Linked DNA regions of Mus musculus. The protein of the gene in region 2 purifies or fractionates together with the protein of the main gene of each other region. This does not show direct contact. Links are inferred from orthologs where the notes say so. Each region holds a gene or a part of one and is shown on either strand. Other genes may lie near its edges.

Evidence for each region.
Region 1: the proteins of Strip1 (region 2) and Ppp2cb purify together in Homo sapiens (affinity purification with mass spectrometry; 6 studies listed by BioGRID and IntAct, counting the BioPlex papers as one, with this or other methods). This does not show direct contact. The link is inferred for Mus musculus from reciprocal best matches to the Homo sapiens genes STRIP1 and PPP2CB.

The regions. Positions count from the first base shown.
Region 1 is NC_000074.6:33,612,573-33,623,079, forward strand, and holds the end of Ppp2cb (serine/threonine-protein phosphatase 2A catalytic subunit beta isoform), read left to right. Parts: intron 1-2,877; coding exon 2,878-2,967; intron 2,968-3,093; coding exon 3,094-3,255; intron 3,256-4,454; coding exon 4,455-4,573; intron 4,574-6,549; coding exon 6,550-6,622; 3' UTR 6,623-7,232; downstream 7,233-10,507. Other genes in the region: Ubxn8 (UBX domain-containing protein 8), read right to left, coding at 8,958-9,128.
Region 2 is NC_000069.6:107,614,665-107,625,071, forward strand, and holds part of Strip1 (striatin-interacting protein 1), read right to left. Parts: intron 10,068-10,407; coding exon 9,961-10,067; intron 9,851-9,960; coding exon 9,723-9,850; intron 7,391-9,722; coding exon 7,208-7,390; intron 6,881-7,207; coding exon 6,663-6,880; intron 5,611-6,662; coding exon 5,545-5,610; intron 5,440-5,544; coding exon 5,376-5,439; intron 4,319-5,375; coding exon 4,247-4,318; intron 3,727-4,246; coding exon 3,652-3,726; intron 3,492-3,651; coding exon 3,394-3,491; intron 2,275-3,393; coding exon 2,148-2,274; intron 1,945-2,147; coding exon 1,844-1,944; intron 1,164-1,843; coding exon 1,097-1,163; intron 756-1,096; coding exon 651-755; intron 136-650; coding exon 1-135. UniProt on the Homo sapiens protein: Plays a role in the regulation of cell morphology and cytoskeletal organization. Required in the cortical actin filament dynamics and cell shape. Part of the striatin-interacting phosphatase and kinase (STRIPAK) complexes.

The DNA of each region.
Region 1 (10,507 bases), on a different chromosome or scaffold from region 2:
AAAAGAAAGAAATTGTGCTTGTATTACTATGTTTCCTGGCTATCATTAGTAACTTTTTATTCCCATCTATCTTCATGATAACAAGTATCATATTATATATTACATCTTTTTTATCAAGGGGTTCTCTGTTCCCAGCATAGTAAGTTTTGCGGCATACATAAGACATTATACAGGCCAGGCGTGGTGGTGCACGCCTTTAATCCCAGCACTCGGGAGGCAGAGGCAGGCGGATTTCTGAGTTCGAGGCGAGCCTGGTCTACAGAGTGAGTTCCAGTACTGACAGGGCTACCCAGTGTTCTTGAAGGTGTAACAGATACTCTTCGGCTTGCAAGTCAGAATATAATTTAATTATAACAGTCCATATTTTTCCAGCCGTGAGTTTGGATGCTGCAATAATTGTAGTGACAATACGTTGCCTATACTTGCTAACTTGTAAATGTATAAGTTGTTAAATTTCAATTAAAATTGTTCAAGTAACAGTCTTTATTAGCCTTAAAGAACAAATTCATTTAGAAAGATAATAGTAATAGTATTGGTGGTAGATCTAATTTTAAAATTTGGTTCATACATTGGTAGAACTTTTATGTATTTCTTATACAATCAGCACTCCCCAAACTCATCAGCCTTTACTGTTTTTGAAATATTTATAAGAAACAAAACAGCCAGCCTACACACACCATTGTGACAGGTTATCATTTATTAAATGTTATTACTGGAAGACACCTCAGAAATCAAGTAGAGAAAACAAATGGTACACAGGGTCCTGGAAGGAAGTGACAGGCTTAGGTCCTTCATAGTGTTCAGTATATTGGGACCTAGGAAACCAGATGTAAATATCGTGTGTGCAGTGTGTGGGGACAAGCACGTGGGGCTGGAAGCAGCTGTCGTAACTCGGTTGATCTGCACATTGCTTTTTATGTTTTTTTTGAGTCAGGGTTTCTCTGTGTAGCCCTGGCTGTCCTGGAACTCACTCTGTAGACCAGGCTGGCCTCGAACTAGAAATCTGCCTGCCTCTGCCTCCTGAGTGCTGGGATTAAAGGCGTGCGCCACCACTCTCGGCTGCACATTGCTTTTTGAGACAGGGTTTCTCACTGAACCTGGAGCTTACGATTCAGGTAGCAGGCCTGGTCAGAGACGGCCTTGTGTCTCCACTGAGCTTCCATGCAGTGCTGTCAAGCCTGGCTTTTTACATCGGTGCTGGGGCTCAGTTGCCTATATGGCAAGATCTTGACTGGCTGGGCCATCTAGCATCAGATCTGCTTTGTTGTGGCAGTGGTGGTTTGGGGGATTTTTATATATATTTGTTTATGGGGGAGGGAGGGAGGTTGGCCTACATCAGAGTGAAGTTGTCAGGCTTCACAGCATCTGCTGAGCCTTTAAGAAACATGGAGCTTGGGGGGGTGGAAAACCTCAAAATCCTCATCGATGGACATGATGTACCTGCCTGTAATCCCAGCACTCAGGATTATAGAGCTTCTGTCTCCAAAATCAAAATATAAAATAAAACTGAAGCCTTATGCTTAATGTGTAAGTTCAATAGTCAACCAAATATAGCAAGCACAAAAAGATAAAACCAATTGGGGCGGGGGGGGGGTGTGTCTATATCTGTGATTTAAACTTCAGTGCTAATTTTTTTTAGAAAATCCATTAACTGTCTCCTTTATTTAGGGACCCATTACAAACTTGAGCAGAGCCAGGAGAAAAGGCTGATATGGTCATACAGATCTATTCAGGAGAAAAGACTGCTAGGGTCATATAGATCCATTCAGGAGCTTTGGGCAGAATTGTTGATTCCTAAGCTAGCCTGGGCTGTATACACCATTGACCCTGTCAGTGAACAAATATGAAACTGTTCACTAAAATATTCATTATTCTCTTTGATTCATAGTATAGTCCTTGAATAATCAGAGGATAGTCCTAAGAAAAAAATTTTAAATGCTTATATTATCCCACTTTCTGCCAGAAGTCCTGTAGATACACTCTATAGTAAAGGGAACTAAAGACAACTGGGAGGTGGCCGGGGGCGACCAACATTTTTTTCCTAATTTGTAAACACATAAAGTAGCTGTTTTGCAAGCATGAAGGCTGGTGTTTATATACCTAGCAGCCATGGAGGGCACAGCGCCCACCTGTGACCCCTCTCTCGATGATGGGATGATATGGTTAGCTGTCTAACCACAGCAGCAGGCTCTGGTGAGTCAGGTGGAGTGATCCGAGGCAAACAGTACCAACCTTAGGCCTGCACATACATGTGCACCCACTAACATGTAGACCTGCAAATTACATGCACTTAGCAGGTGTGCAGGAGAGGTGACTCGGTAAGTAAAGTGTAAGGAGAGAGAGAACCCCAAAAGCTGCCCCAATCTCTGTTAGGTGGGCTCTACACATCATACAGTGAGAAATAAGTGTGTAAAGGAATTACAGGTGATACACTATATAGGGAAAGTATATGTAATAGTGGTTATGTGCTCAGTAAATCTATATTGTAATCTATAATGGGAATCAGAAGGATGTTAATGTTGGGAAAGAAACCAGGTGTGTGACCGCAAACACAGTGACGGGTGGTGAGCGAGCGCCCTGTGCAGCAGACGCACTGTGCAGACACCACAGTGCGGCTCAGACTAGAGCGTGTGGAAGGCCCTCCCATCCCCAGGACCGCAGCCGGGGAAGAGAAGAACCCTGAGCACGGGAACTGCTGTGGAGGTTATTGCTGGTGATTGGACTCTGCTTTGCATTGTAGTTCACAGATCTTTCAGCTAATGATACCATTTGGAAAAAGAAAAAGCTGTCATGACTAACCTTTGCAACCGCTACTTAACTGTTCATTAATTTAGCAATTATAAAAACAAAACCATTTTCTTCTCAATTGAAAAACAGATATTCTGCCTCCACGGTGGCCTGTCTCCATCCATAGATACACTGGACCACATAAGAGCCCTGGATCGCTTGCAAGAAGTTCCACATGAGGTGATTTTCGAAGTTACTTCATTTATTTTGATTTTAAGGGAGAAAAAAGTGTAATCACATATGGGAAGGGTAACTCAATTAAGTATCCTAACTCACAGTGCACACATATTCTTTCTCCTTATCCAGGGCCCAATGTGTGATCTCTTATGGTCAGATCCGGATGACCGTGGCGGCTGGGGCATTTCTCCACGTGGTGCTGGCTACACATTTGGACAAGACATTTCTGAAACATTTAACCATGCCAACGGTCTCACACTGGTGTCTCGTGCTCACCAGCTTGTAATGGAAGTATGTACTTTTCCTGCTCTCGTGGTGTACGCATGCACCCGTCATAAGGCTTCATAATACCTTCAGTAGGGGCTGGAGAGATGGCTCAGCAGTTAAGAGCACATTGCTCTTCCAGAAGGCGCTCAGTAGAGACTTGAGCTCAGTGAGATGATGACTCCATGCTGCTTAGAGGAGCACACTGAGGAGTGTGCTTGCTGTGTGTGTCCTTGCTACATTTCACCAAGGAGGTTTGAAAGCTGTTTGTCCACTGCTGGTTCTATTCCGTGACCACTCAGTTGAGGTAGCAATTGCTGGATTTCTCCTGTTGTGTTAGTGTTGTCACTACGAAAGGAATAAACGAGAACGGAGTCCCTCTAACCAGCAAGTAGTGGCTTTAAGAAGGTAGAACAAACTTCACCAGCCTAGAGCAGGCGAGGAGTGGGGTAGGGGCAGGATGCAAAGCACATACACGAAGTGACATTAAACTTCATTATACTGGCAAGCACAGATGTCAGTGATGATAATATTTTTGGAGAAAAAATTTGACTAAGCTTTAACATTCCTAAAAGTCCTGAGACTCCAAAATTAGAAAATAATCAAATTTCAGCTATTTGAGGCAAAACTGAAACATTTAACATAACAAAGATGAGAATGGTGTGCTATGTGTCAAGTAAACACCACCCAACATCACGAGTGATGGAAGGCAGAGGCTCTGACACAGGTGACAATGTGATTGTCAAGATGGCTGGTTAGCATGGGCTCAGCTCTCTGGGAGAGCATATTCTAAGTTGGTATTTGCCTAATACGAGTTTCAAGCAAACTTAGTAGCAAACTTTAGAAGCCAGGCTCATTTCTATCATGTCTCAGCACTTGGGAGGCTGGGGCAATTGCAAGTTTGAGAACAGGGTAGTCTAAATAGCAAAATTCTTTCTCAAAATAAAATAAAATACTTAGCAAAGTTTATGAAGGAAAATGGGGAAGTTACTATGGTTTTCTGAGAAATTCAGTGTATATTCTAAGTTAAAATCTTAAGTGTAGGTTAAGAAAAGCTGTATGGTTACTGAGGTATATAATAGAATCTTGTACCTAATAAATGTTTAAAAGTCTGAACAGTTGCATAAACTTAGATTATAAAAGGTAACATAGCCACCGAAGTATTTGTGACTTGATCTGTCAAAATTGGATTTTATAATGAAACAATGACCTTTTTAATGTTGCAGGGATATAACTGGTGCCATGATCGGAATGTGGTCACCATTTTTAGTGCGCCCAATTACTGCTACCGTTGTGGGAACCAGGCTGCTATCATGGAATTAGATGACACTTTAAAATATTCATTGTAAGTAACTTTACATTTTAATTGTATGTAATGACTTTTAGAGGAAAATAGCCTTGGGAGCTGGAGAGGTGGCTCAGCAGCTCAGAGCACTTAACTACAGTCTAGTATGACTTCCATAGATACCTGCACACATGTGTGCATACACTCATACACACATGCATGTATGAAAAGAGACAGGAAGCCGGGCGTGATGGCACATGCCTTTAATCCCAGCACTCAGGAGGCAGAGGCAAGAGGATTTCTGATTTCGAGGCCAGCCTGGTCTACAGAGTGAGTTCCAGGACAGCCAGGGCTATACAGAGAAACCCTGTCTCAAAAAACCAAAAAAAAAAAAAAAAAAAAAAGAGCTCTGCTTATGACAGGGGAGGAGGAGGAGTGTGCGTGCAGACCCTCTTCCCCAACATTGAACTCAAGAACTTTCTGATGTGCAGCACTCGTAAACCATGGCCTCCTGCATTGCTAGGCCACTGCTGCAGAAAGTGGGGTTTTTTTTGTTTTGTTTTTTTTCAAGACAAAGTTTCTCTTTGTAGCTCTGGCTGTCCTGGAACTCACTCTGTAGACCAGGCTGGCTCCAAATTCACAGAGATCCACCCGCCTCTGCCTACAGTTTATTGAAACTTTCCCAAGAGCTTACAGCTAATAGAAAAACATTTAAGAGAACCATAAGCCGGGTGTGGTGGTACAAGTTCTTAATCCTAGCACTCTGGAGGCAGAAGCAGAGATGGGTTTGAGCCAGTCTGGTGTATGCTCTACATGAATTTCAGGACAGCAAGGACTACAGACATACCCTATCTTAGAAAGACAAACAAGACTCAGACAAAAAGAGGAACTGTAACCGCCCGGGGGCCTAGGAAGTGCCTTGGTGGCCAGCACGGCTGACCTTCCACGGATACCATCTTCATTCCCAGCGCTTACACTGCAGCTCACAACCACCTCTAGTTTCAGTTCCAGGGATCTGACATACATGTAACTAAAAGTCACTTATTTGGGGCTGGAGAGATGGCTCAGAGGTTAAGAGCACTGACTGCTCTTCCAGAGGTCCTAAATTCAATTCCCAGCACATGGTGGCTCACAACCATCTGTAATGGGAATCTGATGCCACCTTCTGGGGTGTCTGAAGACAGCTACAGTGTACTCGTATACATAAACAAACCTTTTTAAAAATTGACTTATTTTAGGTTTAATAAAGCCTTTACTACTGGGCGTTACGGCCTTCTTGGTACTCTGTTTATCCTAGCATACACGAAATCCTGGGTTCAAGCCCATCATTGTAAACTGGCCATGGTGATGCACGTATGTAATCCCAGGACTTGGGAAATGGAAGCAGGTTGGTTTGAGTCAAGGCCAGCCTGGAATACATGAAACCTGGTTTCAGAAACATTTGTCAAATAAAACACTTGCTATGTATGCATGGTGCTACTTGCATGCCTGTAATCCCAGTACTGACAAGGTAGAGCCAGGGAGATCAGGATTTCACAGCCTGTGCTGCGAGTTTGGGGCCACTGTAGGCTATATGAAACCACATCTCAACTACAGCGGCAAAAAATTGGGAATACATCCTGACTCCTGTGAGTGTTTGCGTATTACTATGGTTAGTTGCATCCTTTCAGGACTGTTGGAGAAGGAAAACACAAATAGCATTTATTTATCCCAAGACCACAGTGTTGATAAAAAAAAATAGGAAAAAGTCAGTGTACTAACATTAATATTAAAACACACACACAACAGACAAATAGCTATTTTGACAGAAAAGGCACTTGGTAAAATTCAGTGTTCTCTTCTGCTGGGCACAAACAGACGTGTACATTTTCACCATAGCTGTGAAGTGCTAACTGTGTGGTTGCTAGTGACGAATGAGTTCAGGGTCATCCCAGCCACGTGGGATGCAGCGTTGCTGAAAGCTACAGGAAGGAGGCTCAGTCTGTTCCGTCTTACTGGCTGGCTTACTTGCTGACCATTTTCTTTGTCATTTTTAGTCTTCAGTTTGACCCAGCACCTCGTCGTGGAGAGCCTCATGTGACCCGGCGCACCCCAGACTACTTCCTGTAAATTCCTCCCCAGGACCTGTCTTTGTATGTGGAAGTATACCTGGCTTTTTAAAATATATATATATACATATATATTTAAAAACAACAGTTATTTGTGTTTCTGTAACAAATTGTGATATGTCTTGACATTAAAACACATCATGGACCAAAACGTGCCATACTAATGATGAGCGGTTAGCACAATGTGAACTCTAGCACACTGTTGTAGATGAGTCAGCCCACAGCCTGCCTGCTGGGCGGTAGTGACCATTTTTCTTGACTGGTTAAGCAAAAAGGGTCACTGACTGCTTCGTCTCCTTTGCGCTTACTTGGAAATTTAGTTAACAAGTTTAACTGGCATGGATTATAGAGTTGGAGTTTTATTTTTTAAGAATTCACAAGCTGACTTCCACTTCAATTCATAATCCTTTATTTTATTGAAATGTATGACTAACTGAAGAAGAGATTCTTGGGAGTATGTTGTCATAACATTAAAGAGATTTCCTTTAAAGTTTCCTAAACTAAATTACTGTTGGATGTTGAGCTGCATATTTCTGTATATTTGTCATGACAGTGCTTGCATCCTATTTGGTGTACTGAACAAATAAAATTTCCGATTTAGAGAAAAACATTTTTTAACTGTGATGTACATTAAATGGAAGCATCGCCATTTTGAAACTTTATACAAATACTTAGAACTGTGGCTGGTTGTTTTTTAGACTTTGAATCTCCTTGATACTCCTGGCTCTCCTTCCGAGGGATAGAATTGCCAGTATGGGGCTCCTTGCTAGGCCACAGATATCTGCTGAGTAATAACAGTAGGCAGCTGTACTGACATATTCGCCTGGTGGGGTGTTCACCCCAGGCCTTATATTCAATTCCAAGTTATGTGCACAGGTACTGCAGAAGTAATGTTTGTTTATAGTTTACACTCAAAAGCAGAACAAAGTCAAAATACTGATAACTGTTAGACCACTGAAAAGGCGATTGTTGCATATCTAAGCATTTCATTAGGTGGTTCATATTAATTTATTCATAATTTTAAGTGCAAAATGTAGATTGCTTTAATAACTATATTCTAAATCTAACAGAAGGGACTTTAAAAGCTGAGCTAGGTTGTCTCCTTTAACCTAAAAACAGGAATTGGCCTGTTTATTTAGTAGCAGTGGTAATGATAGTATTCCAAGGTCATAAACACCAGCTCTAGGGTTTACTTAATATCTAGCTGTAGAATGATTGTTTTGGTTTGATTTGGTTTGGTGGTTTTTTCGAGACAGGGTTTCTCTGTGTAGCCCTGGCCATCCTGAGACTCCCTCTGTATGACCAGGCTGACTTCGAACTCAGAAATCCGCCTGCCTCTGCCTCCCGAGTGCTGGGATTAAAGGCGTGTGCATCCATGCCCAGCGGAAGTTATCTTTCTTAATCTTTAATTTTTAGAGAGGGTTTCATGTAGCCCAGGTAGCCTTGAACCCTCCTGATCCTCCTGCCCCCTTCCCAAGACCTAGGATTACCAGCTGAGCTTCTGCCCCCCAGTTTCGTTTCGGAAAACGAAAAAAAAAAAAAGATACCTTAAGACAGACTTAAGTTTTCAACCTCTGTAATACTGCAACCCTTTAATACATTGCCTCATATTGTGGTGACCCCCCAACCATAAAATTATTTTATTGCTACTTTATAAGCAATTTTGCTGCTGTTATGAATCATCAATGTAAATCTCATGCAGATGGTCTTAGGTGCACCCCTATGAACAGGTTATTTGAGCCCCACAGGACCCCACAGGTTGAGAGATGCTCTAAGGGCATCAATTTGTAGACAAACGACAGTTCACATTCCAAATGCACTTAACAACAATGGCCTTGTTTACTGTGGTTTCACTATGTTCCCCAAGGTTCATGGACCAGACCTCCATCCCCAGATCTAAGTCAAAACTATACAGGATCAGTTGGCTCTGGGAGTTCTTTAAGTTTTTAGAAATACAATAGAATGTCCCTTCATCCTCCTTAGATTCTGACTGAATTGTGAAATACTTTATGGTAAGGTAGACGCAAGCAGGAACCAGTTCTTATATGAGCTAGGGTTTGGTTTGGTTTGAAGATGGTCTAATTAACTCAAAAATTGTGGGAGTTGAGGCGTGTCCCACCATGCCCGGCTGAGGCTTGCATCCAGGTCTGTCTTACTCTTTTTACCTCCTTTCACATTATAATGACAGGCCACAGACCATCAGTGCAAAGCGGTCCTCATCCATGGGGTGTGGGCGGGGTGTGGGCGGGGTACACCTGTGGACGAGAGGAGCTCCAGGTGCATGGGGCTTGAATGAACACCGCCCTGTGGAAGGGCAGCAGGTGCTTCCAGCCTCTCTACTGGCTGCTCTGCTCTTTCTCTTCCACGTTAAGTACAGTGTCCACAGTTATTCCTATGTCCTCCAGTGACGAGCCTCCCTCCACTTCCAGGGCCCTTCTGGGAAAGGAATTGGAAAGTCTATATAGGGATTTGTGGTACCCAACTTTCATCATCCAGTCAAGTAAGACCTAAGAGGCAAAAAAAAAAAGAAGTATCAGACTGTACACTGTTCCTCCAGAATGTATCACTGTAGCACTGTATAGCTCTGTCATCCTGAAATCCAGTCCCTAGGAATTAAAAATCATTTCCATATCTTCCAAAGTAATCCTTTTACACTTTAATGTCTCTATTGCAGAGAATATGTGGGCCTACTGTCATGGTAGTAACAAAACCTAATCCATAAATGAGATGAAAAATACTTAGTAAAAATTTGAGACACCATTAATTCCAACACTTGGGAGGCAGAGGGATCTCTGAATTTGAGGCCAGCCCAGAGAAACCATGTCTTGAAAAAACAGCAACAAAGTTGAAAACAAAATATTTGGGAAAAATTTTGGATCAAAATCACCAAAAGCTTTGTCAAAATACATGTTTTGGCACCTGAGACAAAGTCCACTCACTATGGGCCATTCCTATAATTGTCCAGCACCACAGAAAAGAAAAAAATCACATAGTTATGAGAAACATTTTCCTGCCACATCCAGCTGAAATCATATTTGCCTCAACACATGACATTTTAAACAAAGCATGTTTTGCTTCAAAAACAACAGTAAACTGAGTGTGGTTGCTTCCATTATAGCTGTAGTGCCAAAGCTACGACTGGAGGATTACTGTAACCAAGTTACTGGGTTTGAGACAAACCCATGCAACAGCAAGATCTTGTGTCTCAACAACAAAAGCCTGATAAATGGCAGAGACATAATGTTCCCAGGGACTCTGAAGTATCAGATCATTCAACCAGAGCCTTATATTGCCAGCCACCAGGCAAGAATCCACTGCTGACCTATAGAATAAATCTGTCATCATTTTAACTAAGACAGTTTTGGAAGCGTTGGGAATTGAACCCCAGTTTTCTACACGTGCTGAGCACCCACTCTGCCACTTAGCTCACAGTAAGGTTACAGTTGCTTTGAGTCAGAGTCTGCCTAGCTGGCTCTGAACTCACAATCTTGCCCTGTGTCAGATCCACGACCCCTGCAGTGGAAGCATTATACTCATATTACACTGCGGCCCAATTTAAACTTTTTAAAATAAGAGGCCATGTGTGGCAGCTCATGCCTAGAATCCAGTCATTTGGGAAGCTATCACAGACACCAAGTTCAGGCCAGCCTCGACTACAGGGTAAGTGCTAGCTAGCCTCAGCAAAACCTAGTATCTTACCCACCAACGTAAATGTAGTAAACAACCAAAGAAATACAGCTCAGAGAATGCCTGCCTGAAGACTTAAGATTCTTTCCTAATATAAAAAATGAAGAAAGAAAATTGAAGGGGAAAACACAATGTTAATGTAGAGATCACAACTTAAACCCTCAGTCTGCAATGCAGAACCTTCACATTGTCTGTCTGT
Region 2 (10,407 bases):
GTTGCTCTTGCGCCACTGTCGCCCCAAATACTTGGTCTGCACCTTGAGCAACTTCAGCACGTAGAGCTGCATCATGGCCTGCTTCACCTTAAGGGCCCGCTTCAGGATGGGTGCCGACTTGAACACCACCAGCATCTGGGCGGCCATGGTGGCGGCCATGGTGAGAAAGCAGTAAGTGTGAGTGCCACTACATGGTCACTTAGCACTTCTGGGGTAGCAGACAGGACCACAAGCCATGCAGTTTCTCTTGAACTCACTGGTTCACTGGCACCTGAAGTGTTAGGCACTAAGACAAGCAGAGCTATAGCAAACCACTAAGGTTGCAACCCTAATTATGGCTCACTCTGTAATCTAATCTCTGAGAACTCATGGACCTTCCTTGTTCCAAAGCATTGCAGGGCTAAGGTGGCTCCTGACTCCTGCCCATCACTTCCCACCCAGGATCAGAAAGATCAGAAAGTGTCTGTGGTTGAGGGTTTGTTTCAGGGCATGCCTGAGAGTCTCTTCCAGCTTCTGGTTGTACTCATCAGAGAACCAGAAGTCTGCAGACCTGAACGAGGACGATGCTGCCTGGGAAGCCCCACCCTGAGGACCACGTCCCAGGTGAGGCGGGCACGGCATGGCCCAGGCTGGCTGCAGCACCAACTCACCATGGTTCTCGAGTGTTTCCACTTGGTTAGCTTGTTCAAGATCCGAAGCAGATTGATGCAAGAAAAGAGATTCCTCCAGCAAAACTGGTTGTTGTCACCAGCTTCCTGCAGGGAAAAGCCAGAGACAAACACAACTATCACGACTGCAGGCTGCTCAGCAGCAGTGTCCAAAGGCCTTGACTGATTTCAATGATTCTGTCACAGAATGCCCCGGACTTCAGTGGGAAGATGTAGGCAGCTTGAGTGGGCAAATCCTAGGTGAGCAGCCCTGACTAACCACACAGCCAATCCCCAATCGTTCTGCTCCGCAGCGTCCTCTCCCTGACTCTATGGCCATTTCTGGTACTTTAAAAGCCAAAGGTGACCTCTTCTGGAAGACACCTCTTTGTGTTGGGGGAGGGAATGCTCATACCAAAGGGGTAGGCAGGGAGATCTGGGCCACTCACCAGACTCTCTGCAGTTAGCTCTGGAAGTTCGTTCACCACGCAGTGAGGGTAATCCAAGACGGAAATGCTACAGAATGCAAAAAGACCAGGTGCTCACTGTGAGCAAAGGCTGGGTCTGCCAGAGCAGACGTGATGAGCTGAAGAAGAAGGAGCAATGTACCTCGCTTGCTCTAACCTGGTTTCCCTGACTATAAGATGAAGAAATACCTGCTATAAGATGGTATGTACAGTTGCTCTGTGACTCAAAAAGCTTGTAATGTAATTACTAACTGTGAGGGGTGGAGACACTATTGCAGCTTTTCCCTTCACATGAATCTGGGAGGTAGGACTAGAGACAAATGATTTATGCCAAGCCCTCTTAGAGGCCACAGCTAACTGGATTCCCTTGTGATGTCTCACACTGACAAGCAGGTGCTACCGGGTACAGTGGGTACAAGGAGGCTGTGAAGAGTCCACGAGAATCATCAGAGAAGGCTTTACAGTACACAAAGCCAAGCTCTGTACAGAGACCTGGAAGCAGAAAGGGAGGAAGGATAGAAGTGGCAATTACAGAGCCTAGGGTGAGAGCCTCCTGGTCACTAGCGTAGCTAATCCCATAACTGACACTCTGTCATTCATTATGTCTTTTTTGAGGCCTGGTAGATAGATGTTTAAAGAAAAAGTCTGTTCAATAGTCTCAGTGGAGAGGCAGCTGGAAGTCTTGCCACCTGTCTACACCACCCTTTCTTGGTCTCTGGTCCTTATCACCTGTTCTTGGCAGTGATGTAGGACATGATGTTTTGATTGAAGAACTTCAGGATCAAAGGGATGCAGTTGGCAAATACCAGGTGCTGGGCCATGTATTCAAACTGAAACCAACAGAAGAAAAATAAGCACAGCCCTGGTTCTCTTTTGTCTAGAGATAAAAAGCCTTGGCTGGAGGCCCTCGTGTTAGAATGCTGTGCAGAGGTCAAGTGGGCTCGGAAGTGAAGCCCTACTCTCTGGGCTAGGGGAGCTGCACTGCCAGAGGCCCCGCCCAGCGCACAGGAAGGAAGGCAGATCCTGCAGGTACCTGGTAGATGTGGTTCAACTTAAAGTGCTTGAGCAGCAGCAGCAGCACGGCAGAAATGGCCTTAACGATGACCTCTTTGTGGCGGTTCACATCCACCCCCAACTTCATGCTCTGCAGTACTGTGGTGCTAGGAACACAAGCGCCTGGGTGAGTTACCAGCACACAGTACCTCCTTCCCAGGTGTCCACAGAGGAGATGGGCTTCAGAACCCTCTGGCAAAGGCCTACGATCCACAGACACCTCGGAGGCCAGCCTTAGGGTTCTATCTCCCAAGTGATCCAGCGGGAACAGCTTCTTTCATCTCGCCAATACACACTCAGTCCCTTTCTCTGCTTCTCCTCCAAAACTGAACTTCTTTTCTTTTCCAAACTCTCCCTAAGCTTTGGCCACTCTATTAACCTGAGTTCCCCAAAGTATATTCTGTGGAACACCAGTATGTGGGGAAATTCCACTCTACAGTGGCGGGGTGGGGGTGCTGAAGTTAGATTTAGGAAGCACTGAATTATACCTGTTTCTTAATTCAGGACTTCTCACTGCAAATCTTCAGAAGAAACACAGTATTTCTGGGATTATCAAGATGGCCTAATGTTCTGTGAACCTCCCTCTGGTATGAGCCAATCCCTGCCTCTCCCTCACTTGGATACCACCACTATGACCACCAGACCTGGAGATCAGCTCAGAACAAGGCAGCCCTGGCAAGCAACAGATCAGGTGTGGGCCTGAGTCTGTCCTCAATGCAGAATATGACCTCAGGCTGTTCTCTTCCACGAAAAGACCTTTCAGCCAGAGAGGAAGAACAACAGCTAAGAGTTTCACTTTCTCCTCTGAGACATTTGCCAGGGGTCTACCTGCCAGTTGACTGGCCAGTGGGAGAAACTCCACAAAGGCACAGGCTCGGTGGTGGCAAGCAAACTGACCAGGAGCTAACCATCCTATGCAAGGTGTGCCAACCACACAGCTCTAGAATAAGGGCTCTGAGAGAGTCTACTGCCCATCTATTTACAAAGAAAAACCAGCATACCTAATTCACTTAGAAATTCACTCAGTGACAATCTGTGTTGGCATCAGGCCTAGCCATCTCCCTTACTAGTGAAACTTATCCAATTGATTCCTTTGTCTGAATCAGAAATACCCTAAACTTCACCTGCAGCAAAGCTGGGTCAAGGAAGGCAACTCACCTGAAAACTCCTGGCCCCACCCTTCCACCCTTGCTTCAACCTGTTCCACTCATGGCCCTGACACTCACGGCATCTCCTCGGGCAGAACATCTGCCAGGATGTTGATGGAGTCTGTTTTGGCTTTCGATGTGGGAGCTGCTGCCAGTAGGATCTTCAGAAGGGCAATCTGGGAAAAATAGACCACTCAGGTGAGCATCAGAACCTAGGACCACAACGATGCCCTGAGAAGTGGGACTCCTGAGGGTCCTCAGGTGGCAGGAGCCTTGCAGGCTGAAGGAAGGAGAGCAGCCCGTGCTCCTTCGCGGTCTCAGACACAGAGAACTCACCATATACTGAGGCAGGCTGGGGAGCAAGCCTTGATAGAGGGTTTCTGCAGGAACTTGTTCAACTTCCTCTTCTCCCTTTAACACAAAAGTCACACAACCCATGCTCAGGCTACAGTCCCCTGAGGCAGTTTACTAGCTGGCTGGAATAGAATCTCTAAGTATCAAAGTGAAGGGTGATGTTGGTGATACTGACAGGAGGCTCTGAAACATATGACATCCCAAGAATGTCACCCGGAATCATTTAACTAATTCTTCATGAGGTACCACAGTCATGCATGCTAGCAAACACTTGTAACCCAGCACCGGTAAGGTTGGGAAAGGTGTTTGAGGCCATCTGGGCTACAGATAGATGATATCTCAAATTAATAAGTAGATAAGAGAGAGAGACGGCCTTAGTCTAGCGCTGGTCTTCTTTTACAGGTAGGAAACAAAGCACAGAGAGATTGAGTTTTATGTTCAAGGTGCCATTCACAGACTGAAAGGAAGACATGGATGGCAATCTATTCAAGGAGAGGCCGACTCCTGGAGCAGCCTTGTGGCCAGGCCCGGCTCAGAGACTGAGAGCAGTTGGGGACTTTGTGGTCTCTTAACTCACCCCTGAGAGAGGAGAGCGAAGGTATTCCTCCTCCATCTGTGCCTGGACCTCTGCGATTGATGTATACTTGTGCTGGAGAGAGAGGCAGGAAAGAAGGTGCTGAGGAAAGACACCCCTCTTCTCTGGCCAGACTCCCCCCTCACCTGGCAAAGACCCAAGAGTTTATTTTGGCCTTCTGAGAGAGGGCTAAGTCACAACAAAGATTCCTAACTTAAACCTGCAATCTACTTCTGACAAAAAAGCCTGTGTGAAAAGCGCCCATAGAGGTTAGCAAAAAAGCAAAATAAAGTGGAAAGGGCTTTCAGAAGCAAAAACGACAGGAGGGGGCCTGGAGAGATGGCTCAGTGGTTAAGAGCACTGACTGCTCTTCCAGAGGTCCTGAGTTCAAATCCCAGCAACCACATGGTGGCTCACAACCATCCATAATAAGATCTGATGCTCTCCTCTGGTGTGTCTAAAGACAGCTACAGTATACTTACATATAATAATAAATAAAATCTTTTTTAAAAAATGACAGGAGAAAGATATCAGAGGCAAAACTAACTGTATTCTTAAAAGCCTAGTGCAGAGACCACCTGGTACTACCAATTTCAAAACTGGACTTTAAAATGTTACAGTTTAGACACACTGGAAAGCCTCCTGACCCCTGGGGTCGTCTCTCCGCTAATCCTCACACCCACAGCTCCCTCAGCTCCCTCTCAGCAGTGAGCACAAGAGGAAAACAGGATGGTCTGGGACTCCACCTGCCTGCCTGCTGAGAGCCTGGGTCCTGTCTGCCCTCCACTCCAGCTCTCTGGGCCTGGGAAACTGAGCTTGCTTGGTTTATAGAGTATGCTAGAGCACACCCACTATGGTGCTCTTAAGCCTTGCTCTCCAGCCATGCTATAACCAGCAAAGCTGACAGCACCATATCCATCCGCCAGTGCCTCTCAATTGCCTTATACCTCGTGGGCTCCCTGAACTCTAAAGCCTGGGACACACATATCTGTAACCGAAGTCAGACGTAGGAAGAGATGCTTCCCAGGCTCTTGCTGGCAGACAATAGCCCTGAAAGGCTTCTCCCTTGGCCCAGGCTCACTTTATTCTCCTGGGACCAAACAAAGCCAAACGTTCCCTTAGTGCCACTTACTTGTTTCAATGTCTTGATGCTTTCGTGGATTGGCCTTGGCAGCCCCACCACTGTGTTGGTGTCACTGGAGAATAAAGAAGGCCTTATGCTGAGCCCAGAGAGCCACTCACCGGTCCGCTGCCCCAAGGCCAGGCAAGGGCACTTCAAAGAGGCCTCAGGTCACACTCACCTTCCTAGAGTGTAGCCTATGAACTTGCTGCGGCTGGATTCAAGGAACATCTCAATGTCTTTCTCTCTACCAAGCAAGAAAGAGGGGCAGATTTTATCAAGTACTGCTTCAAGGTGTGCCAGTCACAGGCCTGTGTTCAAACAGACAAAGCATCTCCAGGTGTTTACAAGACAGGAAAAGGTCTCTTACAGTAAGTGGGAAAACCTGAATTTTGACTACTTTGTTTTTTTACATAATTTTGTTAGGTTCATACAATTAAAGTATGTTTATATTTCTATAATACATATGGCCAGTTGACTCAAAATTAGGGACATATATAAAACTTAAAGCACAACTTATTTAAACAATAGTAGTATTTAACACTTATTTAAACAATAGTAGTATTTAAACACCATGAAGTGTAAGAGACATAAGCTACTAACTTTAAACAGGTCATTTTCTTGTCTCAACAGAAACATTCTTCTCACACAACATAGAAAGCTCAGGACATACCCTCTTTTATATCAGTTCATATACACATCTCTTTATTAAGTTGCTGCCTACCAAATATACTTCTTTTTTGATGGTTTTATTTTCAAAACAAGGTTTCTCTGTGTAGCCCTGGTTGTCCTGGACTTGCTTTGTAGACCAACTGGCCTGGAACTCACAGACATCATCCACCTGCCTCTGCCTCTGCCTCTCTAGTGCTAGGATTAAAGGCGTGTGCCACTATGCCCAGCTACAATATACCATTTTAACAGTTCCTGCTACCTTCCCATCTATTAACTCCCCCAAGCATACTGTTTAATACATTGGGTTTTTAAAAAATTCTCCATCTATCATTTTTAAATAAAAGGCCACATACAGCTCCAAGATGAATGGGGATAGGTTTGCCTAAATACTCATTTTTTTCTCCTTGCCTTTGTTCACTATCAAGTTGGACCAGTTCAAATTACTGACACAGGAACCACACAAGGGTTATCTATCCTGTGTGACATCAGCAAGGCCGTCCTCACAGATGTGCCCAGGACAGCACATGGTAACTTAAGGTCATCTTAGCCTTGCAGAGGACTCCAGGCCAACACTGACCTAGGATATGAAGGCTCTCACTTCAAGAATATTCTAGAACTGAGACTCACCTAACTTTGGGAGCCCAAGGGAGCCCTTTTGGGCAGGTGAGTCTGTCAGTCTGAGGGTGCTGTAGTGGGGGAGGCATCACCTCGTCTCGCTCCAGGGGAAAAGCCTCCCCCTCCAGGCTGCTGTCGTCATCATTCTCCTCTTCCTCCTCCCGAGAGTCGTCAGCCTTATAGGGATCCCGCTCGTTGAAGGCATCTAGATTGTCCTGCTTTATCAGAGCCTGAAAGCACAGAGAAGAGCTGAGAAAAGCAGCCAACCAATGAGATGGTGACGAGGAACAGAGTTCAAATGGAACAGACCCATCTCAGATGGGGACCTGACAACAGCAGGGAATACGGAGGATTTAGGACTAGAATGAAGAGAACCTCAGAAGCTGCCCTGATGTTAAGTATCCGCTATACACTGGGGCTGAGGCTGGGGACAGTGTCCCTGCTGTGGAGGCACGCCTCCTGATCAGCTTGATCGGAGCTGGCTTCTCATAACCTGCTGGCCCAGGAATCATGTGCCCCGACCCCACTCCCTGAGTGTGTACTCTGAGATGCCTCACCTTGTGCTCCCGTCGGCCCCGCTTCTGCTGCTGCTCAATCAGGTCTGAGGCAGAGGCTGGTGGGGAGGCAGCCCTCATGTTCCGGATGACCTTGATGCTGTCCTCAGGCAGAGGGGGAAGGCCCAGGAGAGTGCGCTTCTCAGCCTTCATGCTCTGCAGCTCCTCAAAGCCGCCCAGCGTGCACTGCGTAAAATGGGGTGCAGAACTTAGGTCGCCATGTCCTTTTTGGTATCATTATTCTAAAAAGCATGCATGACATCACGAGAACCCAAGCCTTTATAGAGACCCATACAGCCACTTGGATAAAAACTAAAGTCTTTAAGGAGAGTCCCGAGTTCTCTATAAGGGACAAGAGCAAAAGGATGAAGGAAAGAATGAAATACTGGCTGATGGGAGCTGGCGCATGATACACAGCTCTGGATGTGACATAGTCTCTAATTTTAAAAAGAAGCAAGTTAAGCATGGGGTGGTGGCACAGACTGGTAATCCCAGCAGGAGGATCACCATAATTTTAAGTCCGGCCTAGCATATATAGCAAGTTCTAGGCAAGCCAAGGCTATAGAGAGACCATGTTTTAAACCAACCACCAACCAACCAAACAAACAAACAAACAAAGTAGAGCCAGTTCTTTCAAACGTCAGCAGACTAGTGCCTCAAAACTACACGTCAATCTTCCAATAAGACTAAAACTTACTGTGTGTAGCTCAAATGAAATAATATAGCAAAGTAAAATAGAAAGCGGTCTAACGTCCTCACTAGGAGCCCAGGCCCTAGGCTGGAGTCCTTGGCCACTCAGTGCCTCCACTCGAGTAACTCGGCTGTCCTCTCTGCCGGAGTGAGGCTTCCTGAGGAACCAGTAGGTCTGGTCAAGATAAAGCCTGCACACCCTATGAGGCTCTAACTGGGTGCTGAGCACAGCGCTCCTCCTGGAGACAGGGCTCCAGGCTTGCCCGGGGCCTGGTTTCTGACAATGTCCCCATCCTAAGTATGATGGCCAGACACCCAGCAACCATTCTCTCCCCAGGCAGAAACAGAGTCCATTTCACAACACATCCTCAGGAAACAGACCACCTAGGCTCACTCTTGCTTCCTTTAAAAGTCATCTTCTTAGGGTTGGAGAAAGAGCTCCAATGTTCAAGGCTAGGATCACAACTCAAGTAGCAAAAGTCATCTGCCTAGTGGAGTTTTGTTGCCCCAAACCACTATACAAATACAAGTTTAGGAGTGGTCTCCAAAGAGGCATCTTATCTGAGGGTGAAGCTGTTGCACGATTGAGAAAACAGCTTTAACAAAAGCCAGGGAGCCAATCTAGTATCTTGAAGGCCCGCCTCCAACCCCCAGCCTTTTTTGAGACAAGGTCTTATTGCCATGTAGCCTTTGCTGGCCTCAGACTCACTGAGCTTAGTAGCAGATACTGACAAGGCTGAGGCAGGAATACCTCAAGTTTAAGGTCAGACCTTCTGTCAAAAAAAAAGGTAAATGACTGAGACAATGGCTCAATGGGTAAGAGCACTTGTTTCGAAAAGATGAGGGTATGCGTTTGAATTCCCAGTGTTCATGCAAAAAGCCAGATAAGCCGCATGTAAGATTGTAACCCCAACAGAGCTGGGTAGAAACAGTGAGACTTCTAGGAGTGCTTGCCGGATGCCAGCCTAGGATCAGGTTCCAATAGAGACCCTGTGGTAATGGAATACAACCAAGAATGACAGAGCAGGGCTCTCGTGTCTCCTCTGAAGTGTGTACAGCTACACAAGTGTAGGCACAGACTACACGTGTACCAAATACATACCCACATGCACAGGAAATATGCAAATAAATAAAATGTAAAAAGAGCGCCAGTGGGTGAGCTGGAGAGATGGCTCAGTGGTTAAGAACATTGGCTGCTCTTCCAGAGGACCTGGGTTCAATTCCCAGCAACAGCAGCTCACAACCGTCTGTAACTCCAGTTCCAGGGGATCTGGCATCTTCACACAGAAAACACCAGTGCACATAAAATTAAAATAAATAAATTTAAAAAAAGAAGAAGAAGAAGCACTCCAGCACCGTAGCTCAGTGAAATCTGTTTGCCTAGCATGCACGACAAGGTCCTAGGTTCAGTCTGTAATACCACTAAACAAATACTTTTAAACCCAAGTAGCTACATAGTCACATAATTCAGTATTCAAATAGAAATATAGATACTCGTCATTATCCACTGGAGACTGGCTCTGGGAATTTCCCCTCACCCCCTCCCACAGGTAGCTATCACATCCCTCAGTGGATGGAATGGAACTTGTGGTTACCTATGCACAACCTTCTGCAAGCATGAGATCATCCCTAGACTATTTCTAATACCTAATGGTACATAAATTATTGGTACACTGGTTAGAGAATAACAACAAGGTCCGTACAGTCAATACAGATGCAAACTTCATTCTATGACCTGAATTTGGATGCATATAGAGGCCAACTGTACAAAGATGTCTCCTTCCTGCCCAGTGTCCTAGCATACGAGTGCCCCCAAGAAGGTGCTCACCAATACAGTCTTCCAGAGCAGCAAGAGAACTTTCTTCATGGGGAAGTGGGGGGCATGGCCACTGCAAAATTTGGTCACCATCCCAAATAGCATGATGGCAAATGGCTCGTTGTTGTACAGAGGGGAACCTGGAAGTGACTCAAAGATATCAGGACCCCAGGCAGCAACAGAACCCACCCAAAGCCCTCTAGTTTCAGTTCCCAAGCAAGGCCTTAAGAGAGGATGGCCAGGGTCCTACCTAGCTCAGCTCTGAAGGTCTGTCGCATGGTTCTCCACTCGGCCTTGTCCCCATCACAATCCTGGTGAACAGTCTCCACAATCAGGTACATGATGTTGAGCAGGACCCTGAGCACAAGAACCAGCTCATAAGAGAGTAAGACAGGGGGCCGGGGCGCGCTCCGCCACGAGTGGCAGTGCATACTTGTAATACCAGTCCTTAGAAAGCTGAGGCAGGAGGGTCTCAAGATTCAGTAAGCTCTAGGCTAGCCTAAATCTCAAACCAACAAAAATGTGAGGGAGGAGCCCTTGGACTTTCTCCCTTCCTGGCTAAGATGTAAACATCCATGCATGTGGTAGGGGATGGCTGTAATAGGAGAAATGGCCCCTGAGACCCTGGAGAGCAGAGGGGTGTCTGAATCTGTCTTCCCAGACTATAACTCATTCTGTATCCCCAGAGTTTACTCAA